Drosophila melanogaster: one gene and its partners. The protein of the gene in region 3 interacts with the protein of the main gene of each other region in a pairwise test. Each region holds a gene or a part of one and is shown on either strand. Other genes may lie near its edges.

What was found. Proteins that work in one complex are often made in the same cells at the same time.
Region 1: the proteins of CG32772 (region 3) and B-H1 interact in a two-hybrid assay, tested with the Drosophila melanogaster proteins (one large-scale study listed by BioGRID).
Region 2: the proteins of CG32772 (region 3) and Eip78C interact in a two-hybrid assay, tested with the Drosophila melanogaster proteins (one large-scale study listed by BioGRID).

What each region holds. Positions count from the first base shown.
Region 1 is NC_004354.4:17,395,601-17,403,495, reverse strand, and holds B-H1 (BarH1), read right to left. Parts: upstream 6,019-7,895; 5' UTR 5,803-6,018; coding exon 4,980-5,802; coding exon of another isoform or gene 4,975-4,979; intron 2,032-4,974; coding exon 1,803-2,031; intron 1,669-1,802; coding exon 1,086-1,668; 3' UTR 218-1,085; downstream 1-217. UniProt on the Drosophila melanogaster protein: B-H1 and B-H2 are regulated by members of the wg signaling pathway; wg and dpp. B-H1 and B-H2 are coexpressed and functionally required in R1 and R6 receptor cells and primary pigment cells for normal eye development.
Region 2 is NT_037436.4:21,225,190-21,229,936, reverse strand, and holds the start of Eip78C (Ecdysone-induced protein 78C), read right to left. Parts: upstream 3,019-4,747; 5' UTR 2,465-3,018; coding exon 1,546-2,464; intron 1-1,545. UniProt on the Drosophila melanogaster protein: Induces the early late puff 78C which triggers puparium formation and development.
Region 3 is NC_004354.4:4,907,374-4,915,139, reverse strand, and holds the start of CG32772 (uncharacterized protein), read right to left. Parts: upstream 6,039-7,766; 5' UTR 5,821-6,038; exon of another isoform or gene 5,689-5,820; 5' UTR 5,382-5,688; coding exon 5,343-5,381; intron 4,289-5,342; coding exon 3,962-4,288; intron 2,760-3,961; exon of another isoform or gene 2,629-2,759; intron 2,398-2,628; coding exon 2,265-2,397; intron 2,196-2,264; coding exon 2,011-2,195; intron 1,937-2,010; coding exon 1,357-1,936; intron 1,295-1,356; coding exon 996-1,294; 3' UTR 1-995. Other genes in the region: CG6927 (uncharacterized protein), read right to left, coding at 6,533-7,680, 7,735-7,766.

The DNA.
Region 1 (7,895 bases), about 12 Mb from region 3:
TTTTGGCCTAATAAATGCACTAATTGCGGTTAAATGCATTTTGCATGCAATTATTATCATTAGGGGTTGGCTCGCACGTCGTCATAAAACCCCCTTTCCCGCCACCCCTCCCCGCACACATCGTTTGTAAATTGTTTCTGTTGGTCATTATATTAATTGCCCCGGGACACGTCCAACCTCCCCCACTCCCAACGAAATCCCGCAGAACGATTGCTCTATTCTCACATTCTGTTATTTTTTATTTAGACAAAAAAATATGCGGTTAAATGTACTTTACATTTTACAGTTACAACGTTTATAGGTCTAGGCTACCGACAAAAAAAAAATTGTTTATTCGATAATACATTTCGTGGTTAGGCTTAACTATACAAAATTATTTTGCTTTTTTGGCTGCTAGTTTTTACAACATTTAAATAAATATTTGCTTAATTTTACTTCATTATCTTATATTGAAAAAAAAAAACTCTTTAAAAAACATTTCGAATAAGTTACTAAGAGCAAATCAAATAAATTAAGCACACACACAGATTCACAGGGATATTAATATATATATACACACGCAGGCACACACACACACAAGCGGGGCTTAAGGGGAGATTCAAAAACGCGAATTCTTGTGGATATTGATCTTTGACAAATGTTTTTTTTTTTAATATGCATGTTCCATTCAAATTTTCGGTTCCATGATTTTGTTTTGAATACTGAACTCATTTGTGCTGCTTTTTATGACCTTAAACAATAATTTGTTTAGATCGTAAGTTTATAAATGCCTCCAAATATATTTTGGTTAAATTTAAACAAAATACCTTTGTACTAAAGTTTGAACCATAAAAACGATGTTGTGATATGGTGCACGAATAATGCAACTGCTGATTCATCTAAATAACCTAAATGCCATGTAAACTTTTATGTTTTATGGAACAATAAAATCATCGATCCGACTGATTTACAAAATGAGTGATATGTAACTTAAATTCGTGAAACCAACTATGTAGTTTATGTATCCCCTTGGAAATCGCACTTTTGAGACCGCCCAAACCCGATGATTAGCACACGCACACAATCGCCGCACTCCGGCGTACCGCTCACACCTGGATCTGATCCTCGTCGTCCGACTGGGAACAGCTGTCAACGGATCGTCCTGGCGGACTGCCCGGATTCAGCGTTGGACTCGGCGTCGATGGTGGCCTTGGTGGCGGCGAGGCGGATGCGGAATGGGCCGGAATCGGTTTGACCAGGCCACTGGGCGGAGATCCTCCGCCCACCGAAGGTGGTGGCGCTACCGGATGCGGTCCGCCCGGATTGGCAGCGGAGGCAGCCGCAGCGGCACTCTGATAGTAGCTGCTCAGCGAGGACAGCGAACTGGAGGCGGACAGGTGGGAGAAGGGTGCCGGACCCACGCCCACCCCGACGCCCACTCCGACGGACGGAACGCCGGCGTATAGGTTGTAGGGCAGTGGCTTCTGCATGGCGGCCGCAGCGGCCGCTTGACGGTAATAGATGTCTATGTTCGTGTGGGGCGTGGCTCCGTGGGCGGCGCCGGCAGCGGCCGCATACGGCCAGGCGCCCAGGTAAGGCGATCCGCCGTAAAGTCGCTGAAAGGCCGCGAAGTTTCCAGCCTCTGCGAGGAGTTCCAGGCCCACTGCTGTTTGGCGCTTCCATTTGGTTCTGCAAAATGATAATAGATACCAAACTTTAGTATACTTTCAATAAGAATATATGTGTATAGATTTTATTGTATTTTCTTAAGTTCATCTTTGAAAACTAATACAAATTAAAAAATCATTAAAGTTAAAACCCACCTGCGGTTTTGGTACCAAGTTTTCACCTGGCAATCGCTCAGATCCAACTTGTGGGCCAGCTCCTGGCGCTCCTGAACGCTAAGGTACTTCTGCCGCTCGAAGGACTTCTCGAGCGTCTGCAGCTGGTGATCCGTGAAGGCGGTACGCGCCTTTCGCTGCTTCTTGCTCAGACCGCTCATGTCGCTGGTGGAGCCGCTCTTGACACTGTTGCCATCGTCATCTTTACCGCCTGAAAGAAAAGAGAATTTCAATTTTAGAAATATTAAGAAACTAAGGGCAAAAAGTCCATTATGTCTAATCTAATACCACATTTGGCAAAGTAGGATATGCGTAAAACTCCAAAACTTTTTATTATCATAAAATATGAAGTTTGTTTATAATACATACTATAATATTCACTTCCCCCTTTTAAACTTAAAACGAAGGTATATTAGTTACATTTCTATAAAACTTTAAATGCCTAAAAACTAGTTTTTAACATTTGCCGAGATGGTTTACCGAAAATCACTATTTGTTGGTGATTTGGTATGCCCATAAGGCTAATTCGATTTAGATCTCTGTGCGATCTATTAAAACAGTTGCAGATACAGTTAGAGGCTCGTTTATGGCCACGCAATTGCCGCTTCCGCTCACAAAGCGGTTCGTGTGTGTGTGAGTGTAATAAAAACGTGCCGCAAAATGTCTAAACTTGCCACAAAAAGCCGCAAGAGAGATAGGCAAGCTGACCAGGCCAAAGCACCCCTTTTTGCGAAAAGTGTTCTTGGCCAGAAAAGGCCGCTTTTCCACCTTTTCTGGCCAGCCATTTAGTACATAAAATTTATGTAAATTCAACCGATGGTGGTTACCCGATAAGCGAGAGCGAGTTTTTGGCCCATGGGCACGAGGGGGTTAAGGGGTTGACGCGGGCTAAGTAAACTCTCAAGCGTTAAATTATTTAAAGCGAAAACTTGCCAAGTGCCGCATTTAAATTTGGTCTAATAAGGCCTAGAAACGGGGAAATTAACAATCTTAGCATATTTTTGTTGTTTTAAGCATATAAATTTATCAGGAAGCAGACAAACAATAATAAAATCTTTTCAAGATTTTAATTTTGCACGATCCATTAAATAAGTGGACTCAATCTTTGTTATTGATAATGAGATACCAAGAAGTCAATATTATTTTATTTATTGAAAATCCAGCTATGCCTCTAATTGAACTTTGAAATATGAAGCAAATAAAGATGCATTGCTAATTATTTCTATTAATCATCGCTAATCAAGAGCTTATTTTGCCGCCAAGGCGAAAGTTGTTTACCATATAAAACGTAAACGATAAATGATTAATGGCAGCGATAAATGAGCGATAATGCCGCAATTGAATAAAATTAATTTGCAATTAAAGAAAATTACTCACGAATGTTGGCGCCGACTTGCTGAATTATCGATTTGCGGGCGATAATTTGTGGAGCGTTAAAAAAAAGGCAAAACCAAAAATCAAGAATTATGTGCCAAATAAAATTGGGCGACAGTGTTGTTAAAAAAAAACCTAATTTGTTTTTTTTTTTACAAATTTATAATTCAAATATAAGCTTTAAAAGTTAACTTTCCTATCTGATTTTATTATTATAATTATGATTTTTCATTAAATTTATAAATAAAATCTAGTGATCAATATTCATTTTGGTTTTTTTGTAACTGAAGCTGATCGCAATTGTGAAATTCCAATGAATTGACGGATTGCCGCCTTCCCTGCCCGCTGGCTGTCATCCCAAAAGAGCTGGCCGACGCGACTACCGTTTATAAAAGTGCAATTGGCAACAGGAAATTGCGGCAATAAATGGCACAAAACAGGGCCCAGATGGAGTGGAGCGCATGAGAAGCTGGCCAAAAGCGAAGTAAAACGAACCGAGTGGCGATGAGATGAGCAAACAGACTGCAACATTTTTTCGTTTGCTGCTGCCCGGCTGCCATTGCCATGGGGCGTCTATTAAAGCGGGTTAAATGCATTTTTATAACAATTTCCACAATTAAATGATTGCGAAGGGGGCAGGTGCGTGAGATAGGAGGAGGAAGCAGAGCGAGCGGCGAAGCGGGGAACAGTGAGTGCGATGTGTGTAATTATTTGAGATTTTTTCTGCGGCTGCGGCAGTTTTAAACTGCATTTTGTTGTTGCATTTCAGGCAGATCCTCTTCTTCCGCCAACCCCCCGCCCACTGCGAGCCACGCCTCCATTCTGCCATAATAGCTCTCAGATTCGCAGGTGCATGCCCCCAAGTTTGAGGAGGGGCGAGGAGGCAAGGGGACTTTAGAAGCTTCGCAATGACGGAAACAAAGCGTGAAAAAGTATTTTTTTTTTTCAACTAAAACCACAACAAATAGAAGCAACAAGAACGAGAATGTAAAATGGTCATGCAATAATTTTTACAGTTTGTTTTGCAAAGCGACATCGACGAGGGCCGCCGCCCCACCCCCGCGCTCCACACTTTAGCCCCCATTTCAGGCGCACGCTTCAATACAAAAGACTTAGGCAACGAACTTGACTGCTGCACAACGGACTTACTTATTTTTTACCTAATTGAATTACTTTTTCAATTGGCTATGATGAAATGCGTTTCACAACAGAACCATTAACACGATTTAAAGGGGAATTTGAGTAATTTTATTTTACGACTGCCTTTACACTCACTACATTTGAGAATTGGTTAAGTGCAAATATATTTAATATCACCTAAAGGGAATATGTTACTAAAACGCAATATCAATATCATTAATAAAAAATTTGCGTTCAAATTAAAAAATATTAAACTTATCAGATCTGCATGTTTTGTGTCTAGCTTTACAAAACAATCTGGACAACTGTTTAAAAAAAAAGGCAAGTGGTCGTAGAGTTGTAAAAATATCTGATATGTACTTTATAAGCTTAGCACCAGGCAGTGATAGCTTTATTTTAAAATGACTTGGATAATTTGAATATTGAATATTTTTTATCATAAGGCTCAACATTAATCAGATTTGTTGATAATTGGTTCTATTTCGACCCAATATTTGTTTATAAAACATTGCGAACTTGTTTTGAATGAAGAAAATTCCTGCTTGAAAATGCATTTTCGAGAATTAGCGAGAATGCTATACTGACCCACCACCCTCTAATGCCGCCAACACCCCACCCCCCGCATAGTACAGAGGCTCACCTCACCATTGCTACAAACGCTGTGATCGTCCATGTTGCCGCTGTCGCAGTCCTCGTTCTCCTCGTGGTAATCGCTGCTGTCGTCCAGATCGCCGCCCGCCGGTGGCGCCAGCCCCACCCCGCCATCCACTCCCCCGTCGACGGGTGGTGCGGCTACACCAGCAGCTGCAGCGGCAGCAGCGGCGGCTGCAGCAGCAGCTGCATTGTTGCGCGCAGCAGCCGCGGCAGCAGCAGCGGCATAGTGCTGTTGCATGGCCGCCGCATATTGAGCCACGTTTAACCCATTGCCGCCGGCGGTGGGTGGAAAGTGCCCCAGCTTGCCGTGCGGATGCATTAGCGCATGCGGATGTGTGTGCGGATGCGTGGGCGGATGTGGTTGTGGGTGGTGCAGGGCAGATGGCAGCACACCGACGCCAGCAACATTGGATGCCTCACAGTTATCGCCATTAATGTTGTTGTTGTTGTTGCTGTGAGCGGGACTGCTGCCGCCGCTGGAGCCCGAATTGTTGTTGTTGTTGTGGTGGTGCAACTGCTGGTGATGCTGCTGCTGCTTGTAGAAAGCGGCCGCCGCACTGCCCGCCAGAATGTCGTTGATCATGAAGCGGGACCGATTGGGCTTACCGATGCCCGAGGCGGTGGTGGTGCTGCCGCCGGAGGACATGGTGGTGGTGCTATGGATGCTGTGAGCCACCGCCGGTGGCTGCAGGCCGTAGTGGAGGTGGTGCTGGTGGTGCTGCTGCTGCAGCGTACTGAGGTGGTGGTGCAGCTGGGGATGCGCTGCGTTTGGCTCGCTGGGCGTTTGGGTGAGTATGCTCATCGAGTCTTTCATAGGACTTAGGGGGTTTCACTCTTTCTCCCTTTTCTTGCCGATTATTTATACGAATTATATTTGCTTTCAACACTTCACTAAAAAAATTCACATTCACTGGAGTTTCCTATAGATGTCAAGTTGTCTTCTATTTGTTTGTTTTTTTGTTTTCTTGGCCTTATCTCAACTTTTCACCCAGCGACGTCGTGAGCGGCTTGGCTGCCAAAACGAGACTGAACGTTTATGAAACGCACCTGCCCGATCCGCCGCTGCCAACGCTGCTGCCGACGCCGACTGCGGCTGAGGCTCGAGCGGCGGCTGTGGCAACAATTTTGCCACTTTGTCATAGGCGGTGGTTGGGCCGCATATGCTACCGAAGGCCGGAGGGGGATGGCCAGTCGCTCGCTTTCGCTGCCTCTCGCTTCCACGGCTCTCGCCGTCTCATCGGCTGTCACTCTCTCGCGCAGCGCCATGTTGCCGGCACCGTGGTGAATCCACCACGGCGTGGTGAAATAAAGTCTCTCCCCGGTTTCTCGGTTTTTATAGCACCAAATGTCGGTCAAACGCTCTTGAGCTCTTCAGGGCCTTGAAAAAGGCCTAAAATGGCGCTACGAGGAAGTTAGTTGGATCTGAGAGATGGAGACGATGCTACTGCATTACTATGTGAAGAGTACTCTTCTTTGTGAACAAAATATTATTCCAAAAATATTAACTCTGCTTTATGTTCACTGCTTTAACAATTAGACCATTAAGACATAAATTACCAAAACTTTTCAATTCCGAAATGTCAAAACATCTGTCTTTCCCATCACATAAGAATATTATAATACTTTTATATATATTCGCTTAGAAATCTGCGAATAACGTCAAGCCAGTAAACAATTTTATCAATCATGTTTTATCATTGATTTATTAAAAATAATCTTAGTCCCATTTGGCTTGACATATTTTAAGAGCTCCTTAAATGTGTTTGCTTTATATATTAGAACTTCAATTAACACCAAATTGTTCGATTTTTGAGTCGAAAAACCTTATACGCCCGACATTTGGGCGTCGCTTTTTTCGATTCCACGCTCTCAGACAACAAGATGGCAATTAAAATTTCACGCCAATAGCCCGGTGGTTAGGCTCACCTTTGGGTTGTTTCGGTGGCCACATGTTAGTCCAGGACTAATTGCAGGAAGGGAAGCGGAGCGGGATGAACAAATGCAATTTGTCGAGAGCGGCGGTTTCCGTTTGATTGATATTGATTCCGGTCGAGGAACTGAACCAACCTGGAGAGAACCATGAGCGGAAGGGGGAAAAGGTCAGGTGACCTGCGAAGGTCATTAGTGGCGGGGAAATTAGGGCGCCGGGGGCGGGGGTAAAGCGGACTGAAGCGCGCGCTTCAATTGCGGAGCGCATTAAAATAATTAGCGTCTGCCGGAGCATCAAATGCGAGGAAAAGTCAACCGAGTCCTTCGTCCTGATGACGGTTATTGCACTTAAATGCATATAATTGCCAGCCCAGTCGTATATCCTGCGGTCTGCGGTCGATTCGAGTTCGAACTGCCAATGCCAATTGAATGCTTAAAATAATTGCACTCGGCCAGCAATGTCAGCACTGAGAGAAGTTTAGTTTAGTATATTAAGTTAAAAACGAATTGGTTATAAAATATAATATTTAAATGAAGTAAGCCCAGAATTTGGCACTGAAAAAACCAAAAAATAAAGACAAAGACATAAGACAGAGACATAGGACCGAAAGGATACCCCCTTTTTTCTCAGTGCACATGCGAGAAATTATGAAAAAGAAATGTACAAATGCAGAAACCGCAATGCGCAGTTGTCCCAATGCCACACCCCCTTTGCCCCTCGATTACTGGACAGTTGCCAGCGAACTTGGACAGTTGGCAGCGTTTTTCCGGCCTCTTCTACGAACTGGCTAACAGTTGTCCATGTGCAGCCTTCTATCGCTCGGATACCTATCCACATATCCATATATCTATCTTTCGATCTACCTATCTGCGTATCTTGCCATCTGAAAGTAGCCTTAATTGGCCTAATGTCCACTCATTGAGTAGGACTGTTTGCACTGCAAATATCCGCAAAAGAATTCTGCATCAATGGAGATG
Region 2 (4,747 bases), on a different chromosome or scaffold from region 3:
TACACATCACTTCCGAAACCGTTTAAATTTGTTAATATTTATTTGGTGATCAACTTTGGTGATGCATGTTTACATCATTTGTTTTTTCTTACAGTGGATGGCGCGTTACGCGCTTGTGCAATTGCAAATTGAATTTTTACAATTGGAGTGCAACAACAATTACAACTACAACAACGGCGTCTGGAAAATGTCGTCGGCCCGGGCAGGAATGAAAAAGAAAAGAAAACGCAAAGGAAACTCAAGTGGCTGCTTTTCATTTTCGCGCCGCGTTCAAATGCAAATCATTTGGTGGCTTTTGCAAGTTGACAATTTGAAACGCCATTGTTTATCCAGCCGAAGAAAAAGGGGTGCGGGTTGTGGGTTGACTGGCTGGCTGGCTGGCTGGCTGACTGGCTGGTGGAAAACTGCTTGGCATTTCCGCGTTGTCAGACAAGTCAGAGGCATGGACGATAGACGACAAAGACTTCATATTTCCTCGACTTTTTCCCATTTCCATTTTCATTTCATGCATTTATCTGGTTGAAGACAACTAATTGAGTGGAGTGGACAACGAGCGATTGCAGTCAATTTTTGCCCCGGCAGAGGAATATCAATTTGAATGCCGTGGAAAAAGCAGTCGAGATTTTGACTTTTCCTCTAATTCCCAGCTTGATTTCAAGGCCTTTCCTAACAGATTTAATTTTCATTCGCACTAATTGACGCAATTAAATGTTGCCATTCCAGGACTCGAAATGAAATCTTCGCCAAAAAATCCAGGCAATTTGCAAGTTCAGCCAAGCCGAATAGTATTTATAATGTCGAATTGTAGTTCAAAATATTATAAAATTTATTGAAAATAAACAAATTTATATTTAAAGTTAAATAATCATTTTCTTGGCTATTAGTGGCGGTAAATCATTCAGCAATAAAAATGTATTGGATTTAGATATTTATAAAAAAAATTGTTTAAAATATATATGTTGGTTTCTTTTTTTGAAAGTCTCTGTGTAAGCAGCAGCTGACCGTAGTAGTTATTAAGCCTATGTTTTGTTGCATTTCCGGTTCCAACTACCCATTCGTTCGAGCCACCAACTACTCCCGGAGGAGTAGAATGGGCTTAGCCCCTTCAAATACCATCATCCAAGGCAAAAGAGAGCCGAGACCAATTCAAGGCGATTTATGAAAATTAAAACATCTTTTCCATGGCTTTCAATTGCACTGCACCCAAAAGGAAAAGCAAATGCAGCGGCAAATGCAAGCACATTGACAGACGTGCAACATGAAAAGCAATTTCCTCGCACTAAAGAGAAAACTGAAACAGCAACAGCCATTGGCCAATAACAGCGAATTATATTCATTTTCACATTTTCCATGCTGCGCTTTAATAGTTTCCTCAAAAGGAGAAGAAACCGAAGACCCAACGACTTTCAATTGCTGTTGCAGCTATTATGCAATGAATGCAAATTTATTGAACACAATTTCAAAGACCGACAACAATGGTCCGCAGCAGAGGAGAGGAGACGACAACGCGGAAGAGTCGCAGTGTCAGTTGCAAATTGCACGTACCTTTGTTCAGATGCGCAACAGATGAAGATGTTGCTGCGGGGTTGACGACGCTGTTGTTGCTGCTGCGGCCGCTGCTGATGGTGCTGCTGACCGCTGACGAGGAGGAGGATGCAGAGGAGGATCCGCAGGATCGCGAAGATCCGGAGGAGGAGGCCGACGAGCAGCCGCTGTCCGGCGAAGAGTGGGCGGCGCTGGAGGAGGGGGAGCTGCTGCTGGTGTTGTGGTTGCTGGCCGGACCGAACTGATGCACACTGCTGATGGTGTACAAAGCACCTCCACCATTGCTCAGCGTGCAGTTGAGCTGATGTTGCTGCTGTCCAGGGTGTTGCTGCTGCTGCTGCTGTTGCTGTTGTTGCTGGTGGGTGTGCTGCCGTTGCTGCTGCTGCTGTGGGCTTAGACTGGCTGCAACACTCTCTGCTAGGGCTGATGTTCTATAGAAGTCGTCGCAATGCAACAACTGCAATGGATCAGCTTCAATGGCACTTAGGCAATCCTCCAAATCCCGGTGATGCTGCTTCTGCTGCTGATGCTGCTGTGTTTGCTTCTCCTCTTCCTGCTCGGATTCCAAGCTATTGGCCTCACTGTAGGCCCCTTGGGTGGACGAGTCCTCCGGTGTGTCAAAGAAATGCAAATTAAAGTCTGAATTTGCATTAAAATTGACTACCGGCAGCAGGGCTTCCTCGTCCTCGTCCTCCTCTTCTTCTTCGCCTTCTTCTTCCTCGTCCTCTTCGTTGTCCTCTTCCTCCGCCTCCTCTTCGCTTGGCTGTTCCTCCTCGTCCCGAGTGAAATCCTTGATGAGGTCCTCCTGCTTAACTTGGAGCTGCTGCTGCTCCGAAGACGAGTGCTTCACACAGGTTTCGACCAGCAGTTTGGAGCGGATTTGTGCCTGTTCCTCCAGCTCTATTTGGTATACATCCATGTTGCTCGGATCGAATCGGTGAGATGGGCATCCATCATCTTCATCATCGTCCTGCTGGCGGAAATCGACGTTGGCAACCTGCGAGGGCGCCTGATCAGCATTTTTATGGGAAATCTCTGCGATGTTATATCTTTTGCACTTAATGAGGAATCCGGAGAGGGCGTTTCAAAAGGATTCACGGTCTTTCAAATTTTCTTCGCTTTTGTCAGCTGTGGCTGAATTGAAAAAAGAAGTTAGGCTTTAGCATATGGCAAAGTCCTTTAAAGAAAATGCTATCCGATTTCAAAAGCTAGACCAATCTATCAAGTTCTGGTAATCTTGAAAAACCAATCATAATAAGTACGATAAGTTAACATTAAGTCTAAGAATAAGTGTATAAAATAGACATTAATTTTTGATATCAAGTAACCTAATATTCCCAATACTATAATATTTGGCCAATATTTCCTTTTTTCTATTTATTAGTTTGCTAAGTTTAGTTAAGGCCTTTCCCAGCCATGTACATATGTAATTATTGCCTCCCTACTTTGTGCGCAGTTCTTTCGTTAATGCTTGAATTCAATTATCACGATCATTTCGCATTTCTCATTACTAATCCCCTCGCTTAAGTTTGTCACTTGCACTTAGCCTTCGTAATAGCTTGTATTGCATAATTTTTCAATTCACTTCCGTGTTGTTTTCGAAGTCCTTCGTTTCCAAGTTCAGGCTAGTTCCAAAATCGGGCGCTCGTTTCGATATAGGTTCGTTTTGTGGCGGCACACTCGCGCGTCGATTTTATTATTTTTTGGGAGAAATGGTGATCGCGCGTACAAAACTCTCGCTTCGTCGAGATCCAAGCGCCAACTTCGCAGCGCTCCAAATGCGCCAGGGAAAATCCAAGCTAAACTGTAGAACCTACGACAACACACAAAAGTCCAAGACGACGACGGAGCAGCGGCGCAGAAGAACAAGAACGTGTCCCTCTGCGCCAGTGTGAGTAACTGTGCGCTGGTCTGTGTGTGGAAAGAGCAGGAAAATAGAATGCATTGCGTCTGTGTGGCCCAATGGAGTGGGAAAACTGCGAAGCGCCGCCGCCGCCGGAGCATGAGGTGGAGCCGCTGGAGGAGATGAAGGGAGCAGATCGGTTGGAGAGAGTCAATGTGATGCGAGTACTGGAGGCTCTATCTTTCTAATCTCCACCAGCGCCAGCGACAGCAAGAGCAGCAGCAATAACAGCAGCCACACAAGCTGCAACAGCAACAACTTGGAAAGCTGCAGCCACATTAGAAACTGCTGCAGCAATAGAATCGGCAACAGCAGCAGCAACTGTTGCAACAGCAACAGCACAACAGAAACATGCATTGCCACTCTCGCTGTTGCAGCTGTATTTTGTTGCTGCACTTTTTCATTTGCAAACTCTTTTCCTGGTTGCTATTTTCAATTTCTATTGCCGCTGCCGGCGTTGCTGCCAACGTCGGCATCGACTTCCAACATTTCCAAGTGCAACCACACATCCACTCAAGATCAATTTCACACACACCAATGCAGCGAGCGAGAGCAATAGAGAGAGACTCGGACCGTTACTTAGTTTGCACTATCCTCGAGGGAGAGGGCAATGGGCATGTGTGTGTGCGCGAGAAAGAGAGAGGGCAGAAGTGTGGGCGCCTTCAAGGGGGGTCAAGTCAAAGAACCTTCAGCTGAGCAGGCAGGAAAGAGAAAGGCCGAACGGCAGAGTGGGAGAGCAAATTCTGCAATGCGGAAGTTTAAATGTTGCATGTTGCTTTTGCGTTTGTGGGCTGTTTTTCACCGAGAAGAAAGTGGAAAACTGCAGTTTTTGGCATGAAAATACTTTCCTGAAAATTATTTTTGAAGATCAAATGAAGTATTTAGGAATTTGCTTCTGAGTCAAAAAGGTTTAATGTTTTGACTTGAAAATAAAAAGCAAACAATGCCAAATTTTCCCGAAAAATGAATTTACATTCAAGGACAATGATAAAAAATAATATGATTGTGCAAATTGCAAGGGTACAAGGAATTAATTAACTAGGTACAGAAATCTCTTTTTCGAATAGTATTTTTTCCTTTTTCCCTAACGTTTTCCGCAATTTTCGTGACGAACGCCTGGCGCAAAAGGGAACGAACGAAAGTCAATGATCAGCGGCGGCGGCGACGTCAACTGCATGCTAGCTTGCCATTTTTCCAACGGGCAGCAGCGAAAGCAACCAGAAACTGTAAATAACAGGAAAACGGCAACTGGGCGATCGGTGGAGCCACATATCCACGATCCTCCGCGAAAGCGAAAAG
Region 3 (7,766 bases):
GTAATGGTTTATTAAAAAAAAAATAAAAACACTTAAGCTAATGCCTAACATAAATACATACCGAATTTAATCGAATTGTTTTTCACTTCTTGTTTTCGTTACTTTTCTCTATGCGTAATTACTATCAATTGTAGGTAATTTGTATTTGCTTTCTGTTTTTTTTTTTTTTTTGTTTTTTCAACATTATATTTTCCGTTTCGCTGCGCCTTTGCATTACAATAAAATTTTAATTCGATTTAAGTTTTACAGATTTCTCAACCCGATCTCATGTTTATATAATATAATGTATATATAGATGTGGGTGTTATGTGCATAATTTTATAAGTCAGTTGTGTTTTTGTCTGTCCATCTGGTGCTGCTGCTTTTTCTCCTTATCTCTTTCGATGTCATGCATTGCTGCTAATATTCTTGGAAATTTATTCAGGGGCATTTGGTTCCTCTATTGCTTTGGCTGCTGAATTCAAAACAGGAAGTGGGAGACAGACACCAAACTGAACCAGCAGCTTGCCGCCGACTCTAAATTCGGGATGTTTTGGAAGTCCACTCGCCGATTTCAAGATAATTAAGTGGATTCTGATACCCAAAAAGTTGATGCTGAACTCAATGCGAGAGTAGGACAAGTGCATCTCAGAAAAACTAAAAGCTAGCTTTAATCGATGAACTCGACTAACTCCCCCATTCCATTCTGATTCAGAATTCAAGGACGAAAACGCTTCCTACTGCCTGTTCCATACCTTTTTTTCACCAATCCAGCATACGCTTAACTCCACGGGTAACGCATATAAAGAATGATTTCTACATCAACTTCAGACACCCAAAAGTATTTAGAGATCTGCAGAGACTCCAAAACATCCGCGCCATATATCTAACATATTTTACGTGTGTATGTGCTGAATGTGATGCTACTTTGGCTATGGCTATGCTAATCAGGGACTTTAGCAGCTGATCGTTCGGGGCTTAAGCTAAAAGAGACCTTCTTTCCATTCTTAACTAGCCTACTTAGTGGGTATGAAACGCGCCTTGACCGCCTGTCCCATCGGCAAGTGCAGCAGTTGCTGCTGCTGCGCCGCCTGCTGCTGTTGTTGCGCCGCCTGCTGCTGCTGTTGTTGTGCCGCCTGCTGCTGCGCCTGCTGCTGTGCCGCCTGCTGCTGCATGTGCTGATTGATCTGCTGCTGGATGGACAGGCCGCTGACATTGCTGATATGCTGGCTGTGGAGCGATTCGTTGATCTCGATCTTGATGGCCGTGGCGGCCAGCGTTGTCGCCTTGTTCTTGTTCTTCGGCGGACGCCCACCTGGATATGCAACGAAAGGCGTAGTGAGATTCAAAGTGAATGAGTGAATGGTGAGCACTTACGTTGCCCTGTCGTGTGCTGCAGTGACAACGGCTGGCCGATCATCGCCAGCGGCTGTTGCGACGTCTGCAGCGTGCCCGCCTTCTTGGATCGCTTCGGAGGCGGCAGCTCGTGGTGGGCGTGATTGGTGAGCAGGTGCTTGGAGAGGTGCTGGCGCACCGCAAAGGACTCGGCACAATTGGCCACCGGACAGGAGAGGTAGCGACCCTCGACATGGCGCTGCACGTGCTTCTTCAGCAGCGACTCCTGATTGAAGCTACTCGGGCAGATGTCGCACTTGAACTTGAACTCGTCGTGCATCTTGAGGTGCTGGTCGAGATGGGCCTGCTGCAGGAACTTCTCGTCGCACTTGTCGCACTCGTACGGAAAGGCCAGGCCGTGGGTCTTCATGTGCGTATGCAGCTGCGACTGCAGTTTGAAGTTCTTCTCCGGACAACGCGGACAGTAGTAGCCGGTGACCCCAGCGTGCGCCTGCAGGTGCTGGTTCAGCGAGGTCACCTGCGTGAACTTCTTGTTGCACACGTTGCAGCAGTACTGCTGCACCTTGTGGTGCGACTTCATATGGTTGTTCAGGTTCGTCACCTGCAATGCGAGAACATATCGAGCCGTTATTATCATAAATCCTCTGCAATTTATCAATTTATCTTGGAACTGACCTGGGCGAAGCTGCGACCGCACTCCGGTTCATTGCAAACGAAGGGCCGTTCGCCGGTGTGCAGCCGGCGGTGATTGTTCAAATTGGTGATCTGCGTGAAGGTCTTGCCACAGTCCACGCACTGATATGGCCGATCGTTCGTGTGGATGCGTTCGTGGTTCCGCAAGTTGGCCGCCTGCGTGAAGCCTGAAAATCCAAGAGGTACATCGATTGTTAAGAACCAGATGATGTGTGCGAACGGCATATGGGACTCACCTTTGTGGCAGTAGGTGCACACAAACTTACGCTCCGCCGAGTGATTTCGTATGTGCGTCATGAGCGAGGATTTGCGCGAGAAAGTTTTGTTGCATAGCGGGCAGGAGCCCTCCTCGTTGAATATCAGATCCACCTTAAAGAAACAAATCGAACATTAGTTGCAAAGGGCTTGCCTTCTACCGCGGGTTACCTTCCATCAGAAAGGCATTATATATGATATGCCATTTTACTTTAATACAACCTACTATAAATTTATGCGAAAAACCTTTTTTCTAAGCTGTACATTATATATGCATATAGTTCTAACGAATAAGTAGCCAAGTGCACATCACTGTGTCACTATCGCCCTCCCACTCCCACTCACGCTCAACAAGCTGGCGGCCAAAAGAACGGATTGCAAATTCCCGTGCGAATTCAGTTTGTTTATTGGGGAATCACTTGAGTTACATTTAATATTTTTCACGAGCTTTTTTTTTATTATAATTATTTTATTTATTTTTCTGCGTGCCACGCACACCCACACACCAAAAGCGCCAACTGAAAATGAATTTTTTCCGCTTTACACAGCGCACAAAAACGCCGAGCTGCGTCGACTTCGACGTCGACGTCGACAGAGCAGATATTAATGGAAAAAGAAGCACAAAATATATGTGTATATACATATATCTATATATATATATATATATACATATAAATATAAAGGAAAACAAGAAAATGAGCAGTGCGAAATGTAGCAAGTGGAATAGAAAATACTCTCACGCTCAACACTTTTCTAACCCGTTTGTAATGCATATCTGTAGGGCCTACCGTTTTTAATCTTCTATAAGAACTTTCCAACACTACCACGTCGACTGTGTGATGGAATGAGACTGTACTGAAGTTTTTTTTTTGAAATTTATGTAAATAGCAGCAATAGTAAATAGTATCTAAACATGTCTGCAATAGAGCATTCCCAAGTCGTCGCAAGGCAATTTTACATTTATTTATACATTTTTTTTTTTTGCAATTCTCTGTTGCATGATGGAAAAAGAAAGGCAACAAGAACATGCAAAGAAACGGCGAAATAAGAAGTGAAGAAGAAAAGCAGCGGCTATGAATGTGCAGTGTGTCCGTGTGCATTTATGTATATGTATATGTAAGACTTTTGTGAGCGGGGGAGTAGTAGTGAAATGTAAGAAAATGAAGAGAAAATAGCACAACAATAATAAACAAGTGCAGCAAAAGGAGCAGGAGTCGAACTCCCTGGGAAGTAAAGCACTCTTCTGAAAACGGTTGATGGGGGTCTTCAAACCCCTATAATTCCAAATGCAATGCATCTACTGAGGATTGCAGTGAACTCTGTAATTAGGTTTAAATTGTCAATTTTTTTGAATCATTTATAGTTTGATGGGCAATTGCATTGATTGGATTCCTAAACCATAGAACACTTTTCGTGGACTATTAAACATTAGGATTAAATTTTAAATTTATTCATAGATATTAATATACATATTCAAGACGTTCATATTTTAGTTGAAAATAAGAACGACCTTCAGTTATTTACTTTATTTATCTCCTTTAGTAAGCCCTTTGCAGCACTGTATTCGCTGCCACTTCTTGCCATGCCTCTCGTAACACTACACGTAGTGCAACCCACTCACTATGCCCTTTGCAACACTCTCCCTGCCTTGGTATCCCAATCCCTGAAATGGACTTACGTCTTCGGAGTCGTCCTGCGACTGTAGGTTCTCGGAAGAACTGGATGATTGCATTTGCTGCTGTTGTTGTTGTTGCTGTTGCGAGTTCTGATGCTGCTGCTGCTGCGGATTCTGATGCTGCTGCTGCTGCGCGATGGCGTCGCTGTCGCTGGAGGAGGCCGTCGACGAGGAGGTGGCCGCCGCTGCTGCAGAGGCGGCAACTGCGGCCGAGGCAGAGGCAGCGACGGCTGCAGCGGCCGCCGCCGACTGATGGAAGTTGGAATTATTTGTCAACTGCTCCGAGCAGCGGACGCACGTGGGTATGCTATAGCCGGGCACCTGGAACAACTGTAGGGCGGGGGAATAGAATAGAACAGAACAGGACACGTGAATTAGAGAGTGCTTCCAATTGGAAAAAAAAAACCAATAATGCTCTTTATTTATTGTGGCAACTCAATCTTATTCCACACATACCCTCCCCCTTCCATGCCAACTAGCCCTTTCTCTTTTCCACCAACTAGAAATAAGAGCCAAGAAGATAAACACACGCACACACACAGGCACGCACACATGGAGAGCGAAAAAGAAAGAAAAGAAACTACAATAACAACAGCACCAGCAGCTCGTTGCTTTGTTGTTGTTGTTTTCATTTCATGTTATTTTTTTTCTTCGGTACAACGTTTTGTTATTCTTTCGCTTTTTGTTTTGCTTTGCCGCCGCTCTGCCAGCGGCGGCGGCAGAGGCGTCGCCTACAAAAAAGGGGTTATTTGGTAATTGTTTAAATAATGAACTAAAAACCAAGCAAAGTTAGATCTGTTTTGTTAGTTTTATAACCGCTTAACTTTAAATTTTTGGGCTTAGATGCCCAATATAGTAAACCCTCTGTCACTAAATTAACGCGCAGCCACTGCGTATTTGGCTGCCTTGGCGCAATTTCTGTCATTTTGTTTTAATATGTATTTCTTTTTGTGCGGTTCATGGGCGGCGGGAGGGGGCTGAAAGAGGGGGGCCTGTTCGGGGGAATAGGTTGAAAAGGAGTCAAAGTGAAAAGCGAGTGGCGAGCGTAAGCAAAATGTAAAAATAATATTTTTTCAAGTTGTCGGCTTGAACAACTTTTCGGGCTGAGTTGGCTAAAAATAAAAATTGTTCAGCAATAGTTTGGGGTCGCATGTGTATGTGTATTTCTTATTTCTGTGTGTGTGCGTTTGTATGTGTGTGGGGAAAGGGGGGCAATGCGCGCGCTTTTGAACCCCGCCCCCTGCGCCAACAACCCGCCCGCACAATAACAGTAGCGCGAATTCAATTGTTTAAACTCCACCAAAAGAAAAAAAATCAATAGAAATAACAAAGTGTATATACCTAAATCACATGTGTGTATATCTTTTTTTTTTTGTTAACATACCGTTGCCGTTTGGAAGCACAATCTACAGATGGTGTCCATTATAACAGTAAATAAGGAATAGGATGGGGAGCAGGAGAAGGAGGATGCACTTTGTTGCTGACTTTTGCCCCCTCTGCGGTCGTTGTTGTTGTTGTTGTCGTCCTTCTCCCTCGCAATTTACCGCTATCTTTACCGGTTAACATTCAGCGCCGTTTTTCTTTTTCGTTTATTATTATTTAGTTCGTTTTTTTTCTATCTTTTTCCTTTTCCTTCCTACTATAAGTTTGTGAACACGATCCAAACGATGTGTGGTTGTATTTGAAACTAACTTTTTGGAGTTTGGTTTGCGTTTGGATTTCGGTGATCGCTATATGGCATATTATGATGGCAAAAACAAAAAAAAAACTATATAAATGATATAGAAATTTGATTTATACGATATTTTCGTGGTACACACACACACGCGCGTTGTTTATGTTTGCCTTGCACTTGCACATACAAGCAAAAATGCGGCGCTGTTGTTGTTGCTGCTTCGAAGTTCTGCTTCTTTTTTTTGCTTAATTCCTTTGCCCTTTTTTTGGCGTAGTTACACGTGAAAAAAAAAACAAACCAGCGCGTTCGAATGCGTTTTTTTTTTGTATTTTACAATTCACGACGAAGTTTTTGTCCGTCGTCTTTTTTCCCTTTTTTTTGGGGCCCGATGTTATTGTTGCGCTGTATGCGTGAGCCGTGTGTGTGTATGTGTGGGGAAAAAACGAATACGATAAGAATACGCGGTATAGTTGTGCTGCTCTAACCCACAGGTTGGCTTGGCCGGTGCTCCTTGGCCTGGCCTATCGATATTTCTATCGATTTCCGTAATCGAAAACGAGGCGGGTAATGGAATCGTTGTTGAAAACAAGTTTTTTAATTTATTATTTATTTAATATTTAATTGCAAGTCCGAAAGATTTATTTTATCATAGGTTATTTTATTTAAATAATTGATGGTGTTTTTTAGGCAGCCATAGAATCATGAACTTTATTTTACAACAGAATAAATATAAAATCATTTTACAGAACAAAGTGAAACAAACATAATACAAAACTTTCACAATAATTAAACAAACTATGCTAAACGATGGGTACAAATAATAAACACTTTAAATTGGATACTTTTCACAATATTAAATCTACTGTGTAATCTAATAATAAAATGAAATGGACCTTTTTTTAAATACAGTAGACAAATGTCCAGAAAAACAGATTAAAGACGAGAAAGGAGAGCGGAAAAACGAATCTGGCTCGACTATCAATCCACATGGCTATTTCCTGGGGCGTTAGCGTGGTCCAGCCACTCAGATCGATCTCCTCCTGGTGCCCCGCGCTCTCCGTTCGGTTATTGTTGGTCAAAGTTTGGCTGCTGCTGGCAGCACTGATCGCTCCAGTGGACTGGGCAGAGCCCATGGATCCAAAGGCACTCTCCACAAAGTTAACATCCATCTTCTGGACGACGCGGCTGGTCCTCTGCTGATCCAGAACTTGGCCCTCCTTAATCGTGGTGATGGGCAAATTGACGGTTAGGTAATTGTTGAAACCGGCACCGCCCAGCGAGCCGGTATCCGCTGTCTTATGCAGAGCCGTGCCCGAAAAGGATCTGGATCTGGCGTGACTGCGTCGTCTGAGCAGATTCGGCGATAGAGTTGACTTCAGGATGTGTTTGCTGTTCAGTTTCTTGACGGGCACACTCTTCTTACGACGCCAAATCGTGTTAACAAAGGCGAACTCCACCATGCTGCCAAATATGAAGATGGTGCAGCCCAGGAACCACACCTCTGACACCTTGATGTAGCTAACCTTTGGCAGAGTCTTTCCCTGTGCCGAGGCCAGGGTAATGAATGTCAGCAGGGTGCTGGTGCCCAGCGTGATGCGCGGCGGCGCCTGATCTGCTTGCAGCCAGAACGATACCCAGGATATGGCCACAATCAGCATGGAGGGTAGAAAGTAGTCCATCAGGTAAAAGCCAACCACTCGCGTCAGGTGAACGGTGAAGCTGAGGGAGCTGTAGTTGCCGGCAAAGGCTCCATGACGCAGGTCACTCAAATCGGCATTGATTACCGTCTCGTTTGACCAGGAACGCTGCAGCACAAACTCGGTGAGATGCAGTGCCCCATCGTAGGTTATCGGACGCTTCTGCTCCCAGTGGAGGACCAGTTCCGACGTATTGTACATCCAACTCTCCAGCACCGTCGAGCAGTGCTGCTCATCGAATGGGAACTTCTTAAGGTTGAGCCAGCAATAGAGTGTCGCCTTGATGCGATTCGAAACGATCACTGTGCCATCGGGCGATATCGAGGTGAGGATGTCCTTCTCCGTGAGACCTACCAATTAGTTGCAATCAAGCACGAGTCTACTCCAGACTCTACCGTACTCACCCAAAATACTGGAGTCGCGCTCATTGGCTAGA